2 linked regions of the Xenopus tropicalis genome follow. The protein of the gene in region 2 purifies or fractionates together with the protein of the main gene of each other region. This does not show direct contact. Links are inferred from orthologs where the notes say so. Each region holds a gene or a part of one and is shown on either strand. Other genes may lie near its edges.

Region 1 (4,411 bases), about 9.4 Mb from region 2:
GGGGGGATCCCTGTGCTAAGGGTTGGATTGAAGGAAAGCTGATGTAATTAAGATATTGTATTCATAAAAGGATTATGATCTCAACCTGCCAGTTATTTGAAACTTCTGCGATTTCGGGGAAATCGCGGCGCAGCGTATGCCATCCCACCGGCGATTTACATTTTCACCGGTGGGATGGCATTTCGGGGAGATTAGTTGCCCGCAACAAGGGAGATTTGTCGCAGGCGACTAATCTCCCCGTGTGTCTCAAAAAGGCCTGGAAAGGATCATTGTCTCCCTCGTGATATGGGGCTTGTTCACAGCTTTGCTAGAATTCTTTCTACTCTGACAGATCTAATAGTAGAAACTGCTAACATGGATGCCTTACCTGCTCAGAAATGTAATTTAGCATTTAGGCTAGCAACCCACGGAGCAGTTCAGTCGCTCGTGATAGATCTCTGCTATTGTGGGTGGCTAACCTCGTTGGCCAATAGGAGTCGCCAGTGGAAATCCCTTCACATGGGTAATCCAAAGCAAGGCAAAAGGCTTTCTACCGCCAACTCCTATTGTTGCTGGTGGAAAGCCATTATGGAGCGGTTAGTCACTTATATCTAGTAGAATTAAGTCTAAAACAACTGGACTTTTCTGAGTTTTTCTTGAAAACCTTTCACCACTCATCCGAGTGGCTTCTTCAGTTCAAATGACTGGTAGAGAATTCCCCAGTATTTAAAGGAGAAGGAAAGGGTTCAAAATTCGACCCCATACATAGATAGGCCACATGTACCTGTAGCTGATTGCTACATTTTTTTACCTTTTTTGCAGGTACTTTTAGAGCACTCGTCGTTCGTTCTGAGCGCTCTTTTGCTTCTTTTTTGCATTGGATATTTATATTAGTCCAACATGGCGCAGCTTAAGTTGATGTGCATGCGCAAACCTTCTCCCTCCCCTATACGCGAGCGCTCCTGCATATGTTAAATGTGAATGCGCTTACTCAAGAGCTGGCCTTAGTCTCGGTGCAGGAGTGAGGCATTATGGGAATCTTCTTTACACAGCTCAGCGTTTTTTCTTCCTGTTTGGCTTCTGATAATCTGAGATTAACTCTTTATTAGCCTTTCCTTCTCCTTTAAACCCTTGATGGTAGTACAGTCGCAGATATCAGATCACAATGGTTCCATTTAGCATTTAGGCTAGGAACCCATGGAGCAGGTTAGTCACCTGTGATAGCAGAGATCTATGGTGAGTGACTAAACCGCTCCCTGGTCTGTTACCCTTAAAAGTACAGTACATTTCCTGGGCCTACCAGTTATTATCAGGTGGAGACTTAAATCTCATTTTTAAACAAGAGCCTTGATTTTTTTTGGCGTGTAAATTTAACCAAGAGTTTTGTGCAAAAAATATATTTCACTCTCAAGATTTAGTAAAATAACAACGTGGTTATTAAACTGCCATAAAACATACATATACTACTGCTATAGTAGCCTGTTACAGTCTTCGGCTGCAATGTTTTTATTGTAAAACCTTTCCGGAAGCGGAAGTTCCTTTCCTATCCAAACGCACTGACTGGAACTGCAACAATGGGGCGCGCAGAGAGGAAGGCGGAAGCGCGAGAGGAAATTCTCCGGCGAGAACAGAACCGGGACCGGCTCCGGCGGGTAAGTACCTCAGGCGGGGGGGAAAGTACCTCAGGCGGGGGGGCAAGTGGCTGCGGCGGGGGGGGGGGTAAGTACCTCAGGCGGGGGGGAAAGTACCTCAGGCGGGGGGGAAAGTACCTCAGGCGGGGGGGTAAGTGGCTGCGGCGGGGGGGGGTAAGTGGCTGCGGCGGGGGGGGGGGTAAGTGGCTGCGGCGGGGGGGTAAGTGGCTGCGGCGGGGGGGGGGGGGTAAGTACCTCTGGCGGGGGGGAAAGTACCTCAGGCGGGGGGGTAAGTGGCTGCGGCGGGGGGGGGTAAGTGGCTGCGGCGGGGGGGGGGGTAAGTGGCTGCGGCGGGGGGGTAAGTGGCTGCGGCGGGGGGGGGGGGTAAGTACCTCAGGCGGGGGGGGTAAGTACCTCAGGCGGGGGGGTAAGTACCTCAGGCGGGGGGGTAAGTGGCTGCGGCGGGGGGGGGGGTAAGTGGCTGCGGCGGGGGGGGGGGTAAGTACCTCAGGCGGGGGGGAAAGTACCTCAGGCGGGGGGGCAAGTGGCTGCGGCGGGGGGGGGTAAGTACCTCAGGCGGGGGGAAAGTACCTCAGGCGGGGGGGCAAGTGGCTGCGGCGGGGGGGGGTAAGTACCTCAGGCGGGGGGGAAAGTACCTCAGGCGGGGGGGTAAGTGGCTGCGGCGGGGGGGGGGGGTAAGTGGCTGCGGCGGGGGGGGGTAAGTGGCTGCGGGGGGGGGGTAAGTACCTCAGGCGGGGGGGGTAAGTACCTCAGGTGGGGGGGTAAGTGGCGGCGGGGGGGGGGGTAAGTGGCTGCGGCGGGGGGGGGGTAAGTACCTCAGGCGGGGGGGTAAGTGGCTGCGGCGGGGGGGGGGGGGTAAGTACCTCAGGCGGGGGGTAAGTACCTCAGGCGGGGGGGGTAAGTACCTCAGGCGGGGGGGTAAGTGGCTGCGGCGGGGGGGAAAGTACCTCAGGCGGGGGGGAAAGTACCTCAGGCGGGCGGGTAAGTACCTCAGGCGGGGGGGTAAGTGGCTGCGGTGGGGGGGGTAAGTGGCTGCGGCGGGGGGGGGAAAGTACCTCAGACGGGCGGGTAAGTACCTCAGGCGGGGGGGGTAAGTACCTCAGGCGGTGGGGTAAGTGGCTGCGGCGGGGGGGGTAAGTACCTCAGGCGGGGGGTGGTAAGTACCTCAGGCGGGGGGTAAGTGGCTGCGGCGGGGGGGGGGGTAAGTACCTCAGGCGGGGGGGTAAGTACCTCAGGCGGGGGGGTAAGTACCTCAGGCGGGGGGGGGTAAGTACCTCAGGCGGGGGGGGGTAAGTACCTCAGGCGGGGGGGGGTAAGTACCTCAGGCGGGGGGGGGGGGTAAGTACCTCAGGCGGGGGGGGTAAGTGGCTGCGGTGGGGGGGGTAAGTGGCTGCGGCGGGGGGGAAAGTACCTCAGGCGGGGGGGTAAGTACCTCAGGCGGGGGGGTAAGTGGCTGCGGCTGCGCTTATGCTGCAGGATTCTGTGGGCACGATGAGACGGCTTGGGTTGAACTGTTTCTCTCCGCAGGTGTGTGTGATCCTGCACAAGCCGGCCGCAGACAGGAGCCCAGAGGAGAGTGAACTGCTGGGGAAATGTGGGGACTTGGTGCACGAATTGGAGAAACGGAGGCTGCATGTGGAGAGGCGGCGGCACCGGGAACAAGAGGTGAGGGAAGGGAGGAGGAGAGTGAGCCGAGCGCCATAGTTGGGCTGTAGGCGTCGCAGACCCGGGATGGTCACTCTATTATTCACTGCAGCCATTAGTTGCCCCTGGCCAGCTTTCCCTGCTCACTCCCTATTTGTGCACTATAGCTCAGACACATTACCCTACAAGTTTACAGTACTATTCTTCCCTGTATCCCTCTGCTAAACTGGGTGGTTAAGCCCTGAGAGTTGTAGTTTCTCACAAGGTATATTACATTTTTTTCTTAAGGTGGCCACACATGTGGCGATTTTCGATCCTTTGGGTGACCATTGGTCGCAGGAAAGATCGTTCCCATCCTCCACAGACATTCAGGGCTGAATCATCCGATAAGGAGGTAAAAACAATAGGAATTCTACCTCCTTCTGCCGATTCAGCCCTGAAGGCAGATTCTGCTCAGGCGCCTTCTATGGCACCCAATCAAAATCTTTTTACCTGCCTGATCGGCGAGTCGACCGATATCCTCAGCCTTTTGCGATATCAGTCGCCTCGCCGAGTCGCCATACACGCACCCAATATCGTACGAATCATCGGTGCATGTATGGCCAGCTTTACTGTAAAGATATCCACTTTGCTCAGACTATTCCTGCTGTTTTGGGCTTGTTAGCGGATTTGCTTGCTAGCATGCATGTGGTACTTGTCATGCAACAGACTAATTGTCTTGGTGTTATGGCTCCATACTGCGTGTAGGTTCCCAAAGTGTGAGAGTGGGTACGAGAACAATTCCAACTTGGCCATCCTTTTCTAATAACTGGAGACCTTCTGTACTTTTTATGTGCTTAGTTGGTTTTATTTGGACTTTCTTCATTTCATTGATATACTTTTTAAATCTCCATGCACAAGTATAGAAGTCGCTGCATGCAAAATGTGGCGCGTGACTAGTCACCACGACTTTCGTGGTGGGTGATTAGTCACCTGACTGGATTTTAAACATTGTGGCGACTAGTAACCTCGTCTGTATCACCTTTACAGAAAATGTAAAGATAGTAAAGAAAGATCCTATGATCACTTTTAGGGGAAGGCGGATTAGAGGTTACAGTTGCTCCAGCTCAGAGACCCCTTTCCTCATGAAGCCTGTA
Region 2 (3,463 bases):
AGGGGCAATTACTGCAAGGTACCCCCCAGCTGTCTTTCATATTTAAAGGAACAGTAACATCAAAAAATTATTATGTTTTAAAGTAATCAAAATATAATGTGCTGTTGCTCTGCAAAAAATTGTTTTTTTTTTGCTACAGAAAAGCTACTTTATAAATAAGCTGCTGTGTAGCCATGGGGGCAGCCATTCAAGCTGGAAAAAAGGAGAAAAGGCACAGGTTACATAGCAGATAACTAGTAGATAAGCCCCATATAATGGGGGTTTATCCGTTATCTGCTAAGTAACCTGTGCATTTTCTCCTTTGAATGGCTGCCCCCATGGCTACACAGCAGCTTATTTATATAAACTATAGTAGTCTTTCTGAGGCAAACACACCAGTTGTAGCAATGCAGGGCAACAGTACATTATATTGTAATTACTTTTATACACTTTAAATTTTTGGTGTTACTGTTAAAAACTCATAAAAACTCATAAAAACACAGGGACTAAATACAATCGCCAGTCACTTCAGACACTCTTTTTTTTGCTGATGAATGAAATGAAACAAGCTCACATATTTTCCCTAAAGTTTTATTTTCCAGAGTACTGAACAGAAAACCTTTCCCCGCCCGCCCTCTTTTTACAAAACAAAAATGAGAACGCACGCATTTCTGAAACTGCCTACACTAAATCAATGGATGTTACAAAACACATTTTTTTTGTTTTTTTTAGTCATTTTTCATTTTAAACTACAAAAAAGCGCTTTTTGTGTTTTAAATATCGTCATTACAGAAAAAAGGGAAAAAAAAAAAAAGATATTTGTAACACGGCTCACATCCTATTTTTTTTTCCACAGTGCTGAAAATGCACTAAAAGGGTTTTACCTCTCACTGTGCGTTCGTACCACACCGTAAGAATCTACATTTCCCCAAAAAGAGAAACAATATCAAAGAATTTTTTTTTTTTTTTAAACAGAAAGAGATACTAAAACAGGTCTGCTAAAATACAACATTGTTTTAGGTACAAGCAAAAAAAAAAAAAAAAATTGAATTAAACAGCCCACTTGCCCACAAAGAAAAATCTCTTGTGAACAAGGTTTTTGTATTCCTTTTGCTTTGGGGCCCTGCCGGAATTGTATCCCATTTCTAATGGTTTGCGTGCCTTCCTGTCATGTGACTGTCTATATATGGGTTATCCCCCACCCAAAACATGCCAAACCCCCTCCCACAATTATATTACATATAGGGGTCAGACTTGTGCTGACCCAGGCTGTCCACATATATTACAGAGTAGAAGTGATATTAACCATTACACCATGGCTGCAATATATTCCTGCCCTCACTGTCAGGAATAGCATGGACGCTGGAAGGACAGAATGAGATAAAGAGATTGAAGCCCAGACAGAGTGGGGGAACGGGGTTAGCTATAGGAGATTATGGCAAGAAGCAGGGAAATGATAGAGAGGGCAAGCAGGACAAGACCCAATATAGACCAAAGCATAATGTGAGGCCAAGTGGGTTGGACAATATGCAGATGACAAAGCAGAGGGGCAATTCCATATTGTCAATTGTGATAAAAAACAGAACACAAGTGAAATAAGAATGGGCAGCCAAAGGCGGGAGGCAAAGTGAGACAGGTTCAGTACAGGTGAGAGTGCTGGCAATAGAAAGACAGTGCTATATAGGGTGCCCGGGCACCACAGATAGGAAGACATAGAAGGGAGAGGGATAACAACAGGAGTCCAATAACCAAAACAGTACTGAGAACATTATGATACAGAGCATGGGAACGCAACAGTAGGAAAAATGAGTGATATGATACGGCACCAGGTAGAGGAGACTCCTTTTGCAAGAAGTAAAGGAAACCCCTTCCACTCAAAGGAAATTTGCCATCCATCTCCTTATAACTTGACCCTGTAAGCCATCCCTACTTGGTGGCAAAGATTCCACACATTTCAAGCCATACTATAACAACCCTAACAGCCCTGAACAGGGTAAAAATATTGCCCCCTCCCCCTTTTTTTTTTAACCCATCCCCGAGTCCGGATGAAATTTCAATGTATTCAGTTAGAGTCCGAGTCAGAAGAGTCTGCAGAAGAAGAGGAAGAAGAGCTGGATCCTGATTCATTGTCATCGTCCTCTTCATCATCCTCATCATCCTCCTCCTCATCTTCTTCGTCTTCATTCTGCAGGTAGAGAGCAGAAAGCGTGGCTCAAAAAAGGAGGGTTGTCACTGGAAGCTCTAGGCTCCCAAACCAGCTGAAGGTTACTCACCTCCTCACCATCCTCACTGTCCTCATCACTGCTAGACTCTGAAGAATCTCCATCTTCAGATGAGTCCTCCTTATCTTCATCTTCATCATCTTCATCATCCTCATCATCGTCGTCATCATCGTCATCGTCATCATCATCCTCCTATAGAGGGCAGCCATAAAACAAAAGAATTAACTTAATCGCACCCAATGCATCAAGTTTGGAGTACCCTACAGGTGCCGACAGAGCAATTTCTGCCCCAGGCCTGGTAACCAAATCAACATATTGCATTAACTAAAGTTGGAAAAATAAAGCAAATACTTGATTGGAGCGGTACTCTGGGGCAACTTGCAACTGATTTTCAGTATTTATGAGTATTAAATGAATTCCCAACACTGTAGATTCAATGGTTATGGTTTTTTTTTTATTGATCTATGCATCAATGTGGGGCAATAGCAACAATGAAAAATTTGCAGCTGGGCAGTAACCCACAACAACCAGTGGTTACCATTTTTTAACCAACTGCAGGAAGAACAATAAAAGAATAAACTTGATTGGGTTACTGCCCAGGTGCAAATTTCCCAAGTATTCATAAATAAGCCATTGTGTGGGTCTTTATGGCATGGCAAAACAACCTCCATGGCACGCAAAGAATTACATTAAAATTCATAATTGAAGATGATAGATTCCTTTTCATTTTAGGTCATCTTTGGCATTTTGGCACAATTTGCAAGTATACCTACAGGTACGTAAGAATAATAAATACTTACCGATTTGCTCTGAACTACTAATTTGGATTTGTTGCTGGGAGTCTGTATTTTTGTTGTACTTTTGCGTTTCTGCCAAAAAAAACAAAAAAAAAAAAACAGGTAAATAAATTACAAGTTGGATGGTCAACCCATAGCATTACTTCACATTGTTAAAAGTAAAAGCATTTTGCAGGGCAGCATGCAGGACAGATGATATATACACATATGCTGTGCTCTATTCTGACAGCACTTCACTAAGGCTCCATATACACATAAACCTGATGAGGTCATACATCTTAAATCTCTCTCCCTCAGACCTCACTTACATTTGAATTCTGTTCCTTGTATGCAGCACGGTCTTGTGACGATAAAGTCTATAAAGAAATTCGAACAAAATGATTAAAACTTTAAGATAAGGCAAATGCATGAAGTCATGGCATTTCAGGGGCTTTTTCTAGAATGCTATAAAACAGAGTTCCCTTT

The links. Proteins that work in one complex are often made in the same cells at the same time.
Region 1: the proteins of ubtf (region 2) and sirt7 purify together in Homo sapiens (affinity purification with western blotting; 3 studies listed by BioGRID, with this or other methods). This does not show direct contact. The link is inferred for Xenopus tropicalis from reciprocal best matches to the Homo sapiens genes UBTF and SIRT7.

The regions. Positions count from the first base shown.
Region 1 is NC_030686.2:27,960,170-27,964,580, reverse strand, and holds the start of sirt7 (NAD-dependent protein deacetylase sirtuin-7), read left to right. Parts: upstream 1-1,537; 5' UTR 1,538-1,553; coding exon 1,554-1,631; intron 1,632-3,158; coding exon 3,159-3,296; intron 3,297-4,411. UniProt on the Homo sapiens protein: NAD-dependent protein-lysine deacylase that can act both as a deacetylase or deacylase (desuccinylase, depropionylase, deglutarylase and dedecanoylase), depending on the context. Specifically mediates deacetylation of histone H3 at 'Lys-18' (H3K18Ac).
Region 2 is NC_030686.2:18,512,471-18,515,933, forward strand, and holds the end of ubtf (nucleolar transcription factor 1), read right to left. Parts: intron 3,355-3,463; coding exon 3,307-3,354; intron 3,071-3,306; coding exon 3,002-3,070; intron 2,394-3,001; coding exon 2,253-2,393; intron 2,165-2,252; coding exon 2,042-2,164; 3' UTR 555-2,041; downstream 1-554. UniProt on the Homo sapiens protein: Recognizes the ribosomal RNA gene promoter and activates transcription mediated by RNA polymerase I (Pol I) through cooperative interactions with the transcription factor SL1/TIF-IB complex.